Linked DNA regions of Arabidopsis thaliana. The protein of the gene in region 2 purifies or fractionates together with the protein of the main gene of each other region. This does not show direct contact. Each region holds a gene or a part of one and is shown on either strand. Other genes may lie near its edges.

The links. The genes of interacting proteins can lie anywhere in the genome.
Region 1: the proteins of VTC4 (region 2) and IMD3 fractionate together in Arabidopsis thaliana (co-fractionation; one large-scale study listed by BioGRID). This does not show direct contact.

Annotation. Positions count from the first base shown.
Region 1 is NC_003070.9:11,139,560-11,147,590, reverse strand, and holds IMD3 (isopropylmalate dehydrogenase 3), read left to right. Parts: upstream 1-2,873; 5' UTR 2,874-2,928; coding exon 2,929-3,323; intron 3,324-3,392; coding exon 3,393-3,504; intron 3,505-3,575; coding exon 3,576-3,740; intron 3,741-3,814; coding exon 3,815-3,901; intron 3,902-3,980; coding exon 3,981-4,097; intron 4,098-4,193; coding exon 4,194-4,301; intron 4,302-4,385; coding exon 4,386-4,592; intron 4,593-4,679; coding exon 4,680-4,748; 3' UTR 4,749-5,130; downstream 5,131-8,031. Other genes in the region: PP2-A9 (phloem protein 2-A9), read left to right, coding at 273-668; IMPL1 (myo-inositol monophosphatase like 1), read right to left, coding at 791-889, 980-1,081, 1,168-1,380, 1,473-1,525, 1,591-1,648, 1,749-1,837, 1,936-2,069, 2,180-2,247 and 1 more; AT1G31175 (cytochrome C oxidase biogenesis Cmc1-like protein), read right to left, coding at 6,686-7,042.
Region 2 is NC_003074.8:625,903-634,103, forward strand, and holds VTC4 (Inositol monophosphatase family protein), read right to left. Parts: upstream 4,024-8,201; 5' UTR 3,781-4,023; coding exon 3,768-3,780; intron 3,685-3,767; coding exon 3,629-3,684; intron 3,544-3,628; coding exon 3,493-3,543; intron 3,369-3,492; coding exon 3,288-3,368; intron 3,204-3,287; coding exon 3,100-3,203; intron 3,003-3,099; coding exon 2,918-3,002; intron 2,777-2,917; coding exon 2,722-2,776; intron 2,589-2,721; coding exon 2,545-2,588; intron 2,457-2,544; coding exon 2,388-2,456; intron 2,298-2,387; coding exon 2,197-2,297; intron 2,086-2,196; coding exon 2,029-2,085; intron 1,940-2,028; coding exon 1,840-1,939; 3' UTR 1,610-1,839; downstream 1-1,609. Other genes in the region: AT3G02860 (zinc ion binding protein), read right to left, coding at 97-379, 573-732, 932-1,031, 1,167-1,255; ILR1 (Peptidase M20/M25/M40 family protein), read left to right, coding at 6,091-6,450, 6,545-6,670, 6,919-7,233, 7,326-7,454, 7,559-7,957.

The DNA of each region.
Region 1 (8,031 bases), on a different chromosome or scaffold from region 2:
GCAACATCTTTTTAAATGAAATCACCAAACTTTGATTAAAAATGTTTTATCTTGCTTTTGTATTTTCCTTGTTAAATTCTGCAGAACAATAGAAAAGCATGGATTTCACAACCGAGTGGTCTTAACTTTGTTTGGGGAGGTGACTCGAGATATTGGGTTATCCCTAAAGAACCAAGGTATCATCCGATTCATTCCGACTTAACCGATAAACCCAACTTTGGTTTACTGATACCAAAAATCTTAAACTGATTCATTTGATTGTTGGTTTTAGGATGCCTGCTGAGCTGAAGATGGTGAGTTGGTTAGAAGTAACCGGTTCATTCGACAAGATTGAACCCGGGAAAACATATCGAATCGGTTTTAAAATCTCGTTTAAACCGGATGCGACCGGTTGGGACAAAGCCCCTGTTTTCATGTCTGCTAAAATCGGGAAGAAAGGCAAGACAGTGTGGAAAAGAATCAAATCCGTTAGCCAGAACTTTGGTATACTGAAAGGTGGATCAGAACCCGTCAATATACCTGACGAGTCCGATGGCCTGTTTGAAATCTTGGTTAGTCCCACAGCGCTTAACCAAGATACTAAGCTTCAGTTTGGTCTGTATGAGGTGTGGACTGGACGATGGAAGACAGGTCTGTTGATCCACGAAGCCTTTGTTCAAGAAGTGTAAGGGGGAATATGATCATTATTGATTTTCATAATCCGAACGCAAATCTTATACCTCGTTTCAGTTCAAATATAAGAGCTTTAGATCATAACAATGTAATCTTATATACCTTTCTTGAACAAGTCTTAAAGCTCTGTATGATAATCTTCCGGTTTGAACCATAACGAGAAATCGATTCCTTTCGACTTCAAATTCTCAGTTGCGGGTGCAATTCTTTCCAGAAGCTACACCGATTAAACAAAAAATATGTGAGACCTGATCTCTAAGCACAACAGATTAAAAGCATTGATAAAAGTATGAACAGTTCATGAAACCTTGGGGTGAAGAACGCCGTTGGAGACCAAAACAGACCTATCAAACACAGAAAACTTCCCTCCGTCCATCCGAGTCACAGCTCCTCCAGCTTCCTCAACTATCTGTGTCCATTTTCTGACATGGATTAAGCTCTACAACTTAAGTACTTTAGTAAGAAAAAAACAACAAGAAGGATGAAGAAGACTACAAGAACACCAGCAGCCATGTCCCATGGCTTTAAACGGTACTCCCAATATGATTCCGCAATCCCAAGTGCAACATGACACATGTCAACTGCAGCAGCACCGAGTCTTCGCACTCCCCGACTCACATCAGTAAACTCTTTGAACAGTTCCATGTTAGTGCTCCATGCATCATCATGTTCATAACCAAACCCTGTGATAAGAAGTGCTCTCTCCACCTTCATTCAAACCCGAATAAATATCTAATAAACCAAAACCATTGAACACACCATGTCGAAACTTAAAATTGGATTCTTGATAAGTTACTTACAGCATCGGTCTTACTGACATGAATTTTTTGCCCGTTACACAATGCTCCACCACCTAAGAAGTGAACTAGTTAGACAAAATTTAGATATATAGCCAAACATAAGCTTGTCACATAGTACCTGCAGTTGCAGAAAAGGTTCGAGTGTTCCAGCACATCGGACCACCGACAAACTCTACCTGCATGATGAGATTTTGTTGTTAATCCTACTGACCAAAGAATCAGCAAATAGGAACTAACAAGCATTAGCTGGTTTGTGCAAGTATATATTGGATTTACCACAGAAGCAGCGGCGGGATTTCCACGATACAGAACACCGACGGAAACAGCAAAACTGGGATATCCATGAGCAAAATTTGTAGTTCCATCTATGCATAAAGGAATTAAGAGACTAATACTAAAAATCTCAGAGATTCCACACAAACACATGAAAAGAAAGCAATGAGATTTGTAAAGAGAGCTAAACCTAGAGGATCAATGCACCAGAGGTAATCAGAAGACGAATCGCCGATGATACCTCCTTCTTCACCAAGAATAAGATGATCACTAAAATTCTTCTTCACTACTTCCAAAATAGCAGCCTCGCTTGCTTTATCAGTACTGCAAATTCATCAAAAGTACTAAAACTTTAATAGCTTCAACCAATCAAGTCAACATGAACATAGTTAAAACCTCAAGCTAACAATTTTAAAAGGTGAAGAAGTCCTTACTCAGTTACTAAGTCACTGAGACCTTTATAAGTAATATTCCTTGGCTTATTTACAGCTTCCATAACCACCTAACAAACCAGATGATTCAATTCAAGTTAGTTTTGTTATTATTCTCCTTGTGCAGTTGTGCCCTACGAACCCAAGAACTTGATTCTAGTACCATTGAACACAATTTCAAGTCTCATCAAGAGTTTTTGTTTCCAATAAACATAAATTCAGATATTGTATTCTACAGACATGAAATTTCGAACCTCAGCGCCGGTTTTAGCGGCGAGTTCAACGACTTCAAGGAGGTGTGCCGGAGATATAGTTCCGGTGGTTTTAGCGCCGATTCTGGGATATCGCGTCTGATCAGAAACCTCAGACAGAACAGCTTTGGTTTGAAGTCTCGTTGTGGACTTGAAGCTATTAGACAAAATCCTCGTACACCGATATCGGAAAGTTCTGTTCACTGTCCGGCCTGAAATTGGGTTTTGCAGCGGAAGAGATGATCTGGGTAAGTGAGAGATTCTCAATGACATGTTTCCAGAGAATATTAGAGACCTTCCCATTGTTGGTGTCGCCGGAGAATTTTCGAATTTTTGTTGTTGTTCGGTTTTTGGTTTATATGAACGCGGCCAAGTGAACGGATGGTGGACATGAGAGAGTCCAAAAAGCTGATAGAACTTAAAATTGAAATTAATGAGAACATTGAACCAAAATCAGGTTAACAAATAACCAGAGATAACCGGTCTCTGTAGTATACTCAAATGGTTAGTTTTTGCCGATGGTGGTGCCCTAAACTCGAAAAAAAGATGGCGGCGTTTTTGCAAACTAACATCCGTCTGGAGATCATACCGGGAAGATACAGTTCTCTCACCGATCATAAGTTTCGTGCGCCGTATCGAATTAGGTGCGCCGCCGCTTCACCGGTGAAAAAACGGTATAACATCACTCTGCTTCCCGGCGATGGTATCGGTCCAGAAGTTATATCTGTTGCTAAGAATGTGCTTCAGAAAGCTGGATTTCTCCAAGGACTAGAGTTTGATTTCCAGGAGATGCCTTTCGGCGGAGCAGCTTTGGATTTGGTCGGAGTTCCATTGCCGGAGGAAACTTCCACTGCTGCTAAACAGTCTGATGCCATTCTTCTTGGAGCTATCGGAGGGTATGTGTAATGCGTGTGTGTGTTGTTTCTTCAGCAAATTTATTCTCTTTATGATGATTTTTTGTTCAGGTACAAATGGGACAAGAATGAGAAACATCTGAGACCTGAGATGGGTCTGCTTAACATTCGAAGAGATCTCAATGTCTTTGCTAATTTGAGACCTGCTACAGTTTTACCACAGGTATTGATTTGCTTATCACTTTGCTTTCTAGTTGTAAATATACTCAAATTTTTCTGTTTTTGCTTGTTCAGCTAGTTGATGCTTCCACACTGAAGAAAGAAGTAGCACAAGGTGTTGATATGATGATTGTAAGGGAGCTCACTGGAGGTATTTACTTTGGAGAGCCAAGAGGCATTACGATCAACGAAAATGGCGAAGAAGTCGGTTTTAATACAGAGATCTACGCTGCTCACGAGGTACTACTTACTCTTCACAATCTGCTGCTCTGTGACAATGTATGTGTATTAATGCATTGCTTTATCTTCTTCAGATTGACAGAATTGCTCGTGTTGCATTCGAGACTGCTAGGAAAAGGCGTGGCAAGCTGTGTTCTGTTGACAAAGCCAATGTCTTGGATGTATGTTTTGAATTGTTTTTCCACTCCACTCTTGTGTGTTTTTCGTTATACAATTATTTTTTTGTTTTGTTTCGTATAGGCATCAATATTGTGGAGGAAAAGAGTAACAGCTTTAGCCTCTGAATATCCAGATGTTGAACTATCACATATGTATGTCGATAATGCTGCGATGCAGCTTGTCCGTGACCCGAAACAGGTGATCTTCGCGCATATATAAAGCTTAGCCGTTGATTAAGCTAACACAGAAGTGGAACTTGTAGTACTCACGGCATTTTTAAAAACATTATTGCAGTTTGACACAATCGTCACCAATAACATTTTTGGTGATATATTGTCTGATGAAGCTTCAATGATCACTGGTAGCATTGGGATGCTTCCATCTGCAAGTCTTGGTGAATCGGTAAGTAAGACTAAATCTAATATTTCAAGGTTCCTCTGTTTATTATTATCATATATTGATTGTTAAACTTGTGATGAAAACTAGGGACCTGGACTCTTTGAACCTATACATGGTTCAGCACCAGATATAGCTGGACAAGACAAGGCAAACCCATTGGCCACCATTCTCAGTGCGGCGATGCTTCTCAAGTATGGACTTGGAGAAGAAAAGGCTGCAAAGATGATTGAAGACGCGGTCGTGGATGCTCTGAACAAAGGTTTCAGAACCGGAGACATCTACTCCCCCGGAAATGTATGTGTATGATGATTTCTGTCTTTTGTTTTGTATAAGTTAATGACAATATACTTAAAGAAGTCTTTTTGTGTTTTGAAAATGCAGAAACTGGTGGGATGCAAGGAAATGGGTGAGGAGGTTCTCAAATCAGTGGACTCCAAAGTTCCTGTTTAAGAAAAGTGTGTAGCCCTTGGTTTTACTGTTACTTTTTTGCTAATACATGTATTAGAAACTGTATTCTTGTAGCTTTTATAATAATAAAATATTTGGGATCGATTCTGCAATTCAAAGACAAAATTCTCCAAGAACATTTGACAAGTCTCCTGCCTCAGTACCTTGTTCTTGAAGATTGAGAAGTTCTCGCCAACTACAAAACTCAACATCTTCTTCAATCAATATTTGTTAAACGAATAAAGTTTCAAGAGAGACAAGAAACTATGTTTTTTAGCCGCTAGAGTATTACATTTTTCTACTGAAAAACCAAACTTATAAAACATAACATTTATAAATCCGAAAACAACTATCAATCATCAGGTTAGCCTTTGGATTCACGACGACTTATCAGATTTGCGTTCAGCGTCTGCGGCAGACTGCATTTGAGCTGCATATGGTAAGTTCCAGAGAACATCTTTAAAGGAAGTCTTGCAGAAGGTTCAAGCAAAACACATTTATTGGCGATTGAGATGGCAATTGGGTAAAGACTCCTGCGAGCTTGTTGTTAGGACCGTTGGACTTCCTATTTTCTGTCGACAGTCTTGGCTCCCAAATGACGTCTGCAAATACAACATTGCAGCAACAGCTATTAACAATGATGAAGATTTGCTTCTTTTCTTTACCCTATATGATACCATTTCGTTGAGAAGATAGGCCTCTCCTTTTTGTAGTAGGTACTGGTCCTATCAGAGATTCCAGAAGTATGAATCCAAAGTTGTACACATCGCCCTCTGTTTTAGCCATTTTCCTGCATAATTCCAAAGCTAAGAAACGTGATGAATCGAAATCGTCTGTGGCTTCCTTTAACTCTTCAAAAGAAAATGACCGGAATGAGGGCACACCTTGTGCACCTAGCTTTGCTGCTTGAGAGATTAACCCTGCAAGACGAAGTCGTACAAGGATATTAAATTCCTGAAAGACAATTGCCACCAGGCGGAGGTCTACAATTTGAGTCAAAGTTACTCACTTGCACTAGCAAGAACTTCGGAGGAGAGACTGGTGTGTGAGTTATCTCTGTCACAACCTTAAGCCGAGTTTGAGGCACTGACCTTTCTCTTGAACAACAGCAAGAGCAGCGGTTTATACACACAAGAACAAATACATCTCCACCAAGGACAGCAACCAAAATCCCAATCTTTCTTCCTTGGAACTGTTTTCCCTCAGTTTCAGCCTCTTCGATTACGAATTCTTGATGCTGATCATGACTGCCAATAATGGAAAAGAAACGGGGAGGGGTCCCAATTAATCTGTTATTCGACAAATCCAAGTTTGCCTCCACAGGTCAGATTATGCTGTAGCTTCCCACTGAGCTTGTTAGATGCAAAGTCTAAGTAACTAATGTTTGGCAAAGAGAACAAGAACCGAGATGAAGTTCCAGTCAGATGATTGAACGTCAAGTCAAGATGCTGAAGCTGAGACAAACAACCAAAACTTCTGGTAGTAACCAATAGACCTGAGGCTGTTGATTGATCACACTCGAAACCTCATTGAATCTAACATCTTACACAAAAACAGAAACAGCCTTATTTCTGAATCCAACAACAGCTGCCAAAACTTGAAAGTAGCTAACAAAAGGAAATGATTCCACCACAATGGCTCCTGCTTCAGTTCAGAGCAGCTTATAGAAATCTGAATAACGGATTCTTGATTACACAATTCATTATACCAAAACCATATAAAGGATTACTACAGATTCAACAAAAATTCACAACCTTCCTTAAATCATTCTTCTGCCATTTGATGATGAACATATTCAAATTCCCAGAAATATCCATCCTTACTATCTCCAACAGATGCAGAAAAAAGAATCAGAATTTTAAAACCCTAATTTTACCAATTACGTAGCTCACAAGATCCAAAATAACCTTTCGCCGACAACAACAACAAAACCACCGTATCTAACGCTGCTCAAACTCTCGCTGATGGCGAGAGAGACAGAGAGAAAGTGAAAGCTGAGCGTATTCGCACTGTTTACGCTTAAGGCTTGTTCCGCCGCTAGAGCAAAGAGACCTCACCGCCTCTGATTCCTCCGGACAAGCCTCCGCCACCACGCACTCCGCAAACGCCTTGTTCAAATGTCTGCAACCGGATCTCCTTGCCGGTCCTTCCGGCATCCGACGGTGGCACTGCAACAACGCTTCCTCCAACCGATCGCAAGATTTCATCGGAATCTCTCTGATTTTTCCGGTGTGAATCCGTCTCATCTCACGATGTAACTCACTAGTTGGGTTTGGGCTTTTGTTTTGTAAGCCCATATTTATCTCTTTGTTAATAGAGTCAAACCCACTTTTTTAACACACATTATATCATTATATAAAAACAAAATAATTAAACAAATTCAAAATATCAAATTAAATTTATTAAAAAATTAATGCTAAATTTAAAATTGAATATGTTATAAATACTGGAAATTTTGAACAAAAAATTCAACTAGCAAAATATACATAAATGAGCAAAACATAAGAAAAATATATGCAAAACATAAGAAATAATGACAACCGGTAGAAAATGTAGTTTAAAATTTGAGACACTAAAATTAAAAGAGATGATTCTTAATTTCCAATTAAAAAAAATAAAAATAAGTGATTTGCTTAGACAATGATGTTATTTGATCTGATATTGTCTGCGTAGAATGTTTTCTTTACAATAACAAATTCAGAGTGACGCTTACAATACAACTTGATGCTACAATCTTTAGTGTTTTGGTTTTATACAAACTAGTAGCAGTATTTACAGAGGTCTCATTTCTCATGTCCTCGTCTCTGAAGGCAACCAACCAGAAATCACGACATATAGATAAGTAAATTAAAAGTAAGGTAACTATTTTCCTAATACATTTTTTGTTTTTGTTTTTTACGTCATGTATTATTTTATCTATTTGACACATGTCCGGTTCTATCACTTACTCAAAAGTCGAAACTCTTTTGAGAGAGCTAGTTCTCTGTTTTTTAATCCGTTTATATTTATTTTTATTCTACTAATTCAAGAGAATCCATCTAATTATTCAAGAGAACTCCCGTTGAAAATGTTCTAAAGAATTAAACTTCCAAATCTGGCCCAAGTCGTGAGTTGACTAAAACCGATTTCTCACATATATGAAGATTTCGTACATAGTCATTTTCTCGTGAAACAAAATAATCGTTGGAAAAATGTCCTCCCATCAGTAAAATACCACTATTCTTTTTATTTTTACTTTTTAATTGTTAGTTTAAGTCAAATTAATTACATGTGGTGGTTCGACGAT
Region 2 (8,201 bases):
TAACTGGATCACAAGGTCCACAACAATGAGGTTTCACTTTGATTTTCTGCATCTGGAAAAGTAAAAGCAACAAAAAAAAAAAGAGAAGAAACTCACTTGATATCTGGTTTGACGAGCTTGATTCCATGGGCAAGCAGGTCAGCTTCTTTATTATCAAAAAAACCGGTTGGAAGGTTTCCATTCACCATTGGTTTTGTTTCTGGACCAGTGGTCTGTGTCTGACTCTGTTTAGGTTCACTGGTGGTTTTGGTATTTGAAGAATCAGTTTTCTGATTATCAAAGAATCCGGCTGGAAGAGGTCCCTTTGACTTATTTGTTTCAGATCCTATAGTGTGCTTTGATTGCTCTAAATTCTTGGATTTTGCTGGTTCTACTTCTGCTGCACATATATTTGATCAATAAGTTTTTTTTTTCGATTGACGAATGAAACTATCATCAATCTTTCAAAAAACCTAAGACTAGAGCCTTTAAGCATGGCATCCACATAACTAGCACCTAAACCAAAAGCCTTCTACTAAGAAAATTATTCGAAAAAGATAAGAACAAGAAGAGGAAAGTGCATTAGTCATTACCTCTAGCAGGCTCACGATTTTCGAAGAAATTTGGCGGAAGACCAGATGATGTCTGAGAATTGGATGATTTAGCCAAAGCTTCAATTTTCGTTGGCCGAGTTTCAGCAGGTTTGCTACCCCGTTGGACTCCCGCTGCACTAGCCTTGAGACTATCAATGGCCTGTCCAAACGTTACATTACGAAAGCTAAGTTAATAAGATTAAAGAACATAAAACAGAGAATCTAACGCATAAAATCATATAAGAGCATGAAATCTACCTATCTTCAATGTATGTAATTTATCAAATATCCCATTGTTGTTACTCAGGTTATAAGAGATTGTGAAGTAAAGCTTATGGAGCAGAAGACACTAAGTTTACCTCGTGGTGCTTACGAGAAGCTTGATGTACATCCCAGAGTGATTCAGATTTCAAGACGACATTGCAAACTCGACACACAGGCTGGTCTGATTCGTTGTACCTACAAATCCAAAGAACAAACTCTTCATCCCAACTACAGCTCAAGCCCAATCCCCAGAACCCACAAATATTTGGAATTGTAGAAACCCAGAAGTGACATCGAAACGAAGAGAAGAAGAAGCTAACAACGGTTTACCTAACGAGAGGAGAATCTATGCGGGTGTCTTTCTTCTTGGCGTTGAGTTTAGACCGGAACATGGCCTTCTTCTTCGCTTGAGCATCCATCACTCTCCTTCGTAGCAACCCACGCAACTCCCAAATTATCACAACCTCGCAAGGAATACGAAGATCTGAGAAATTTGTTCTATTCAAATCAAACCCTAAGTCCTTAGAGGAGGACAACAGTCACCGTGAGAATCAAAATTCCTCCCTCCGTTCTTCTCCGCAATCTCTTCTCTTTTACGGGTCGGGTCGATCCAACTCGGGATTAGACTTGAGACTTTCGGGATGCTTCTGGGTCGTTAGTCGTAACTGGGCCGGACTCATTATCCCCATTTTCCTCTGTTGTTAATTTAGTATGGATCACAAAATACCTTAAACTCCACCTTTTATAAAAAAAAAAAAAATGCAAACTCGATTACAAAGATCAACTACATGGAAGAACAGAATTATATCATTCAATACCAAACATATGATTTTTTTTTAATTGAATTCACAAAGGGTAGCAGAAAGAAAATAGTTTTTTTTTTTTCTCAACAATTGAGTTTGTTTTCTTTCTACCGAAAAGAAATATTCAATAATGTTAAGTTTTTGAATTGAGTTTGATCATATAAGGTTGAGACCATATTGTAAAATAATAACAGATGACTTCATGCCCCTGTAAGCCGCAACGCCTCAGCGAATAACTCCTTGAGAGAAGCGTTTGAAGCCGCGATCCTCTGCGATGTTATGTCCAAATCTTTACCGGATCTGATGAACAAAGACGACATAAAACAGTTAGTTATAATCAGTTGGACGGTTTGAGAGTGAGTGTGTTTGGTTTAATCTCAAACTCTTACGGATCAAAGATGAGTCCACCAGCTTCTTTCACGATAACAATTCCTGCTGCAATGTCCCTGTGAAAGATTTGATATTATTATGCCATCATCAGGATCTAATTTTGTTTGTACAAGAAAGAAATCCCCTTTTTTAATCCAAGCAAGGAAAAAAAAAAGAAGACAATTTACCATGGACCACCGAAACCGAGCTCGTAGAAGATATCAACCCTTCCACACGCAACGCCACAGAGGTCCAGTGCACACGAACCACTCATCCTAAGGGACCTGACCTGATGAATGAAGGACACAACAATCATGAGTTTTGGCAGAGACTAGAACCAAATTGGTGGAGTTCCAAATATCTATCGATAAACTTTTACCTTGGTTAGCAAACTGTTGATTCTGTTGGTTGTATCGTCTAATGTAGCTTTATCTCGTTTAGTACCCGCCTATATTCAATTGGTCACATTAGCGATGAGAGGAGGCTTCATAGCAATCTAGTTTTAGTAGTCTAACACAAAGGAGCCAGATTTTTACCTCTGTCACGAGCAAAGCGGTTAAAAGTTCGCTTTGAGCTGACACTGCAAAAAGAACATTGTTTGAGTTGAAAAGAAGGAAGAGAACTCAAGTCTCTGAACAAGTGATAGCTATACTCCGGATGCCATAAAAAGAGATCAAGAAATTTTTTATTAGGTCTCTAGAACAAGTGCTAACCTTTGATTCGCTTTCCATTCAAGAATGCTCCTTTCCCTTGGACACCGGTGAATAGCTGTTTGATCATTAGATATTATGTAAGAATTGAGAAAAATCTTGAAACATGCATGTACAGAGCACCATCAAGGAAACTATGTATAATGGTAAGTTGTAACGATCGAAGAAACTTGAAACAATGGAATACACAATCTTTTACCTCTTCCATAATAGGATTATAAACAACTCCAACAACAGGGACTTTTCCAATCGTAAGTCCAATGGAAACACACACGAAAGGGAACCTACAAAAAAAAAACAGCATTTGTTTTTGTTTTTGATGAAATGGGCAAATGAAACACACAGGTCATTCAAATGGGAATTGATCAATAATGATAATACCCGTGAACGAAATTGGTTGTTCCATCAAGAGGATCAACAATCCAAGTTGGTTCGTCAGTTAGTTCTGTCACACCAAATGCAGCTGTAGTTTCTTCTCCTATGAACTAATAAATTATAGCAAAACTCTAATGATCAACGCGAGGAAGAAGCCAACAAAATGGGAATTCAAAAGAAGAAATAATCACCACCTTGTGATTGGGAAAGAGCTGCTTGAGATGATTAAACACAAGTTCTTCACATCCTTTATCAGTCTCTGTCACCAAATCCACCTAAAAGCAACAATTTAAGGAGCCATAGAAGATAATTTCAAAAAAAAAATTGACACTCTTAAGTAGCCATTCCCACTTATTGAGTGATTGAAACATTATCTGAGCGGAGGAAAGAAACAAAAACCTGGCCTTTGTGTTCAACATGTTTAGTCTCGTAAAACCCTTTACGAATGATCTGCAGAACGCAAACCAAAAGGAGCCAGATTAAATAACGATTAGCCAAAATATCGATCAAAACTCAAGGAGATCGAAAGATAGACCTGTCCAGCTTTTTTAGCGGCATCAATGGCGGCAGCCAAAAACTGATCTAGAGAATCTGCGTCAAATCAATGTCGCCCGAAAGAAAATGAGGAAACAGGGAAATCAAATAAGGTTTGCAGAGATTGATCGTGACTTTACCATTGTCCGCCATTTTCGAGAGAAGACGAAAAGAGTGATGCTTTCTTTACTTTGGGATGTGTTTCAGAGAAAACCAAAAGTTACGGTTTTTGTGGTTAGGCACAGAGCGAATATTCGAGGCATCTAATCTTATACTGTATTATATTAATTACCCAATTAGGCATCCGAAATCACCCAATAATCACGGTCCGATATGGGAAATAAGAGGATTTCAGAAAATCCGTTATACAAAAAGCTAACCAATGATCATTTGAAGATTAGATTTCACCTCAATTTTATCATCCAACTTTCTCTTGACAAAACCCGCATTCTGTAATCAGTTCTCTTTTCCGGGTCGGACAGACCCGAGTCGGGTTTGGACTTGAGACTATTGGACTGGACTCCTTATTCTGAATATGGGCCGGAATTCTTTTTTTTTAGAACAAGTGCATAACACGGAAGGAAAAAGATGTTCTAATTTATTCTGAATATGGGGCCGGAATGATATTGGTGCATACTTGTCTTTCTCTGGCTGGTTCACTTACATTGATGAGAAAAATGCGAAGAACACTTTGAAATCGGTTTGTGATCAAGAGACAAAGGAACAATCGTCTACTGCTTCTGCCGTTGTGTGGACAAGAAAAACTCATTCAACACCAAAATTATGTTGTTTTATTTTTCCGATATTTTACATTTTGTCTTATAAATCTCATGATATAACAGTAGCCCCTTTCTGAGAAGAGATTTGTTTTGCATACTTGTGTAATTTACATTTAAAAAAAACACAGATCAACAGAAGAACAGAACTAAACACTAACACTCTAAACGAGACCACCTCTCCAACACGAGACATCAAACGCCACACATACACAATCTCTGCAACCTAAGAACAGAACTAAACACTAACACTCTACAATCTACTTGTTCATTCTTGAGAAATCAAAAGTCTCTATTCACCTTCTTCTTCTTTCTTCTTCTTCGAGAGAAACGAAAATCAACAATCTTTTTCATCTATTTCTCTTTGGAGAAGAGAAGCAAAGCATAGAAATGTCCATCACTTTATATTATTTGTTGTATTCTCCATTCATAGGCAAAGAGAGAGAGAAAGATGTCTTCATCATAGCTAAGCTTTTGGTTGCCTTAGAGATAGTCTCGACCTTTCTCTCGTTCCAAGACAGCGATGACGCTCTCTGCTGCTCTCGGCGGAAGATACAGCCAGTCCCAACGTACATGGACTTTGAAGTAGGTACTAACATGAACGTAGACAGTGTTGTGGTTAGTATACTTTTGAGGATCGGATCATCAACCTTATCAGTTGATTCTTCAACTTAATTAAACTCATTATATAAAAAACAAAATATTTATGTGACCGTTAAGAACTTAATTGTGAAAGAAGAGGAAATAACAGAGAAAAAAGGGAATTGTAATGTGACCGTTAATTGTGATTAGCAATATCCCTTTTTCTCTCAAATAATAATTGGGGCATTTGCAAATCTTACACTTGACTTCCTTGAAAAGAAAGCCTCTGTTGCGTAATTACAATTTGCATTTTGGTTGTATGTTTGTGATTGTTTCATAGGTCTATTCCACAACTTTTTACCTTTTTTATTTTTTTACTCTCCACAACTTTGTACCTATAACTAAATAATATAAAGTCACAATTTTGTACGGATATTCTGATGTTTCATTAGTCATTTACATTTTTATTGATTATGTTCGCATGTACAGCTACTTTCGTAAACAGCTTCTTTTGTACGAATTGTTCTAGAGAATTTTCGATCATAATCAAAATATAAACAAAATGTTTAACAATGCGCTTCAAATAGGTGGGCCTTTGTTATAAGTAATTTAAAAGTCGAAGAACCCAATGGCCTATATGTCAATCAAATACATGGGCCTATGTTATAAGGAATTAAAAATTTAAGAACCTTAAAGGCCTACATGTGATTCTCACAACTCTAATTCATGCCATGTTTTATTTTAAAAGTGTTAATTTTCATTAACATAAATGGTAAAATCGTGTATTAAACGTACTAATTCATTTCAAGTAAATATTCCTTTTATACCGTAAATATACTACATTGTATCATTTTCATATTTTATCTTTGGTATTTCATTATTTTCTTCACATTACAACCATAAATTATGAATTTCACATTAGAGGCGTATACGTATTTAAAAACGATTAAAAGAGTTTCCAAAAACGTGTGTAAATTACGTACTATATAAATATTAAAAATGGATCGGTGATCCAACTCCTTCTCCTTCATCATCATCGTATTCACCGTTGTCCTTTCTTTCATTGACACTTGCCAGTTTACATCGACAAACAAAAGAAATCAGAATGGATTTCTCAGGGAGCTTCTTTGTCATCTTCGTTACCTTCTTCTTTCTCCCTCCTCTGTCTTCAGCTGGGAGCTACGATTCTGGTTCGGGTCTCGAGTCACTCGCTCGCGGGATGCTTCATTCAGCCAAGGATCCTGAGTTCTTCGAGTGGATGAGAGGAATTAGGAGAAAGATTCATGAGAACCCAGAGACAGGGTTTCAGGAGTTCAAAACGAGTCAACTCGTTCGAGACGAGCTTGACTCGCTTGGAGTGAAGTATAAGTATCCTGTGGCGAAGACTGGCGTCGTCGCTTGGATCGGATCCTGTTCGAAACCTGTTTTCGGACTTAGAGCCGACATGGACGCACTTCCGTTACAGGTTTGAAATCTAATAATCAAAGTTCCGATTTTTACTCTGATTTTTAGATTGCTTTGTTTGACTAATGAATTTGAAAAAATGGGGACAAAAAAAGGAATTAGTGGAATGGGAATCGAAAAGTAAAGTAGATGGAAAGATGCATGCTTGTGGTCATGATACTCATGTTGCTATGCTTCTTGGTGCTGCTAAGCTTCTTCAAACCACAAAACACCTCATCAAGGTCTCTCTTTTTTCTCTTTCACTCAATTTATATGTATAATTTTGAATGATTCTGTCTGTGCCCTGCAATTAAAACTCATTTCGATGTGGGTTAGTGTTTTCTAAGATTCTTAGATATATGTGTGTGTATGTCTTTGATTGCTAATTGTTATGTGTGTGTGTTTTCTAGAGTTGTTAGTGTGTGTGTCTTATGAGAGTTTGGTGAATCTTATGAGGGTTTTGAACGAAAACACAATTTTTTTGCAACAGGGGACAGTAAAACTTGTGTTTCAACCAGGCGAGGAAGGTTATGCAGGTGCTTATGAAATGCTAAAAGACGAGATTCTAGACGACTTAGATGGGATACTCAGTGTTCATGTCTTTCCATCGATCCCATCAGGTGGTATTGGTTCTAGGCCTGGGACCGTTCTTGCAGGTGCAGGATTGTTTACAGTCACGGTTCACGGTCAAGGTAGCCACGCAGCTACACCGCACTTCTCTAAAGACCCGGTTCTTGCAGCTTCTTCCGCTGTTGTTGCCTTGCAACAGATTGTTTCGCGGGAACTGGATCCACTCGAAGCTGGTGTAAGTTTGCTTTCCACTTTCAAAGCATTGGTGTTTGATGAATCAGAATCTTGGCTGAAATCAGCGGAGATTGGTTTTTTTATGTTTCTCAGGTGGTTACAGTTGGATATATTGAAGGAGGTCATGCTCAAAACGTAATACCGCAGAGTGCGAAATTTGGAGGTACTTTCAGAAGCTTAAGCAACGATGGGCTTCTATTTATCCAAAGACGGATCAAAGAGGTAAAGAGATTGTTTTTTACACCATTTTTCTATACAATCTTGTTCTACTATTCGAATAATGTAGGTCCCTAACCCTGTTTAAATGTTTCTTGATGATGATGCAGATTTCAGAGGCACAAGCATCGGTATACCGATGCAAAGCAGAAGTAAACTTCGAAGAGAAAAAGCCGTCGCTTCACCCGGTAATGAATAACGACGAGGGCTTATACGAGCACGGTAAAAAAGTAGCGGAAGCGATGATTGGAAAGAATAACTTCCATGATTTCCCGGTGACAATGGGAGGAGAGGATTTCAGCTTCTTCACTCAAAAGACTAAGGCTGCGATTTTCGTGCTGGGGGTAAAGAATGAGACGCTAGGCGCTGGTAAGCCGCTTCACTCGCCTTACTTCTTTGTTGATGAAGAAGCTCTTCCTGTTGGGGCTGCTCTTCACGCAGCTATGGCCGTTTCTTATTTGGACGAACATGGTCATAGCCATGAAGAAGAGGTTAAGAGTGAATTATAGAAGGTGTTGGGAGAAAATCAGCTTATATTAGTCATCATCTATTTGTATTTGAACTTGAAAGTTAGGTGAGGTTAGGTTTCGGGTTGGGAAGAATGTTTGTTAATAGTCACGAGAAACCAACCACTTCTATTAAAATAAATTTGATGTAAGAGTTTTAAAAATTGAACAATTGAAATCTTCAAAATGAATACCACTTCTTAAGTTCTCTGTTGACCATTTCTATTACCTTCCTTTCAAATTGATA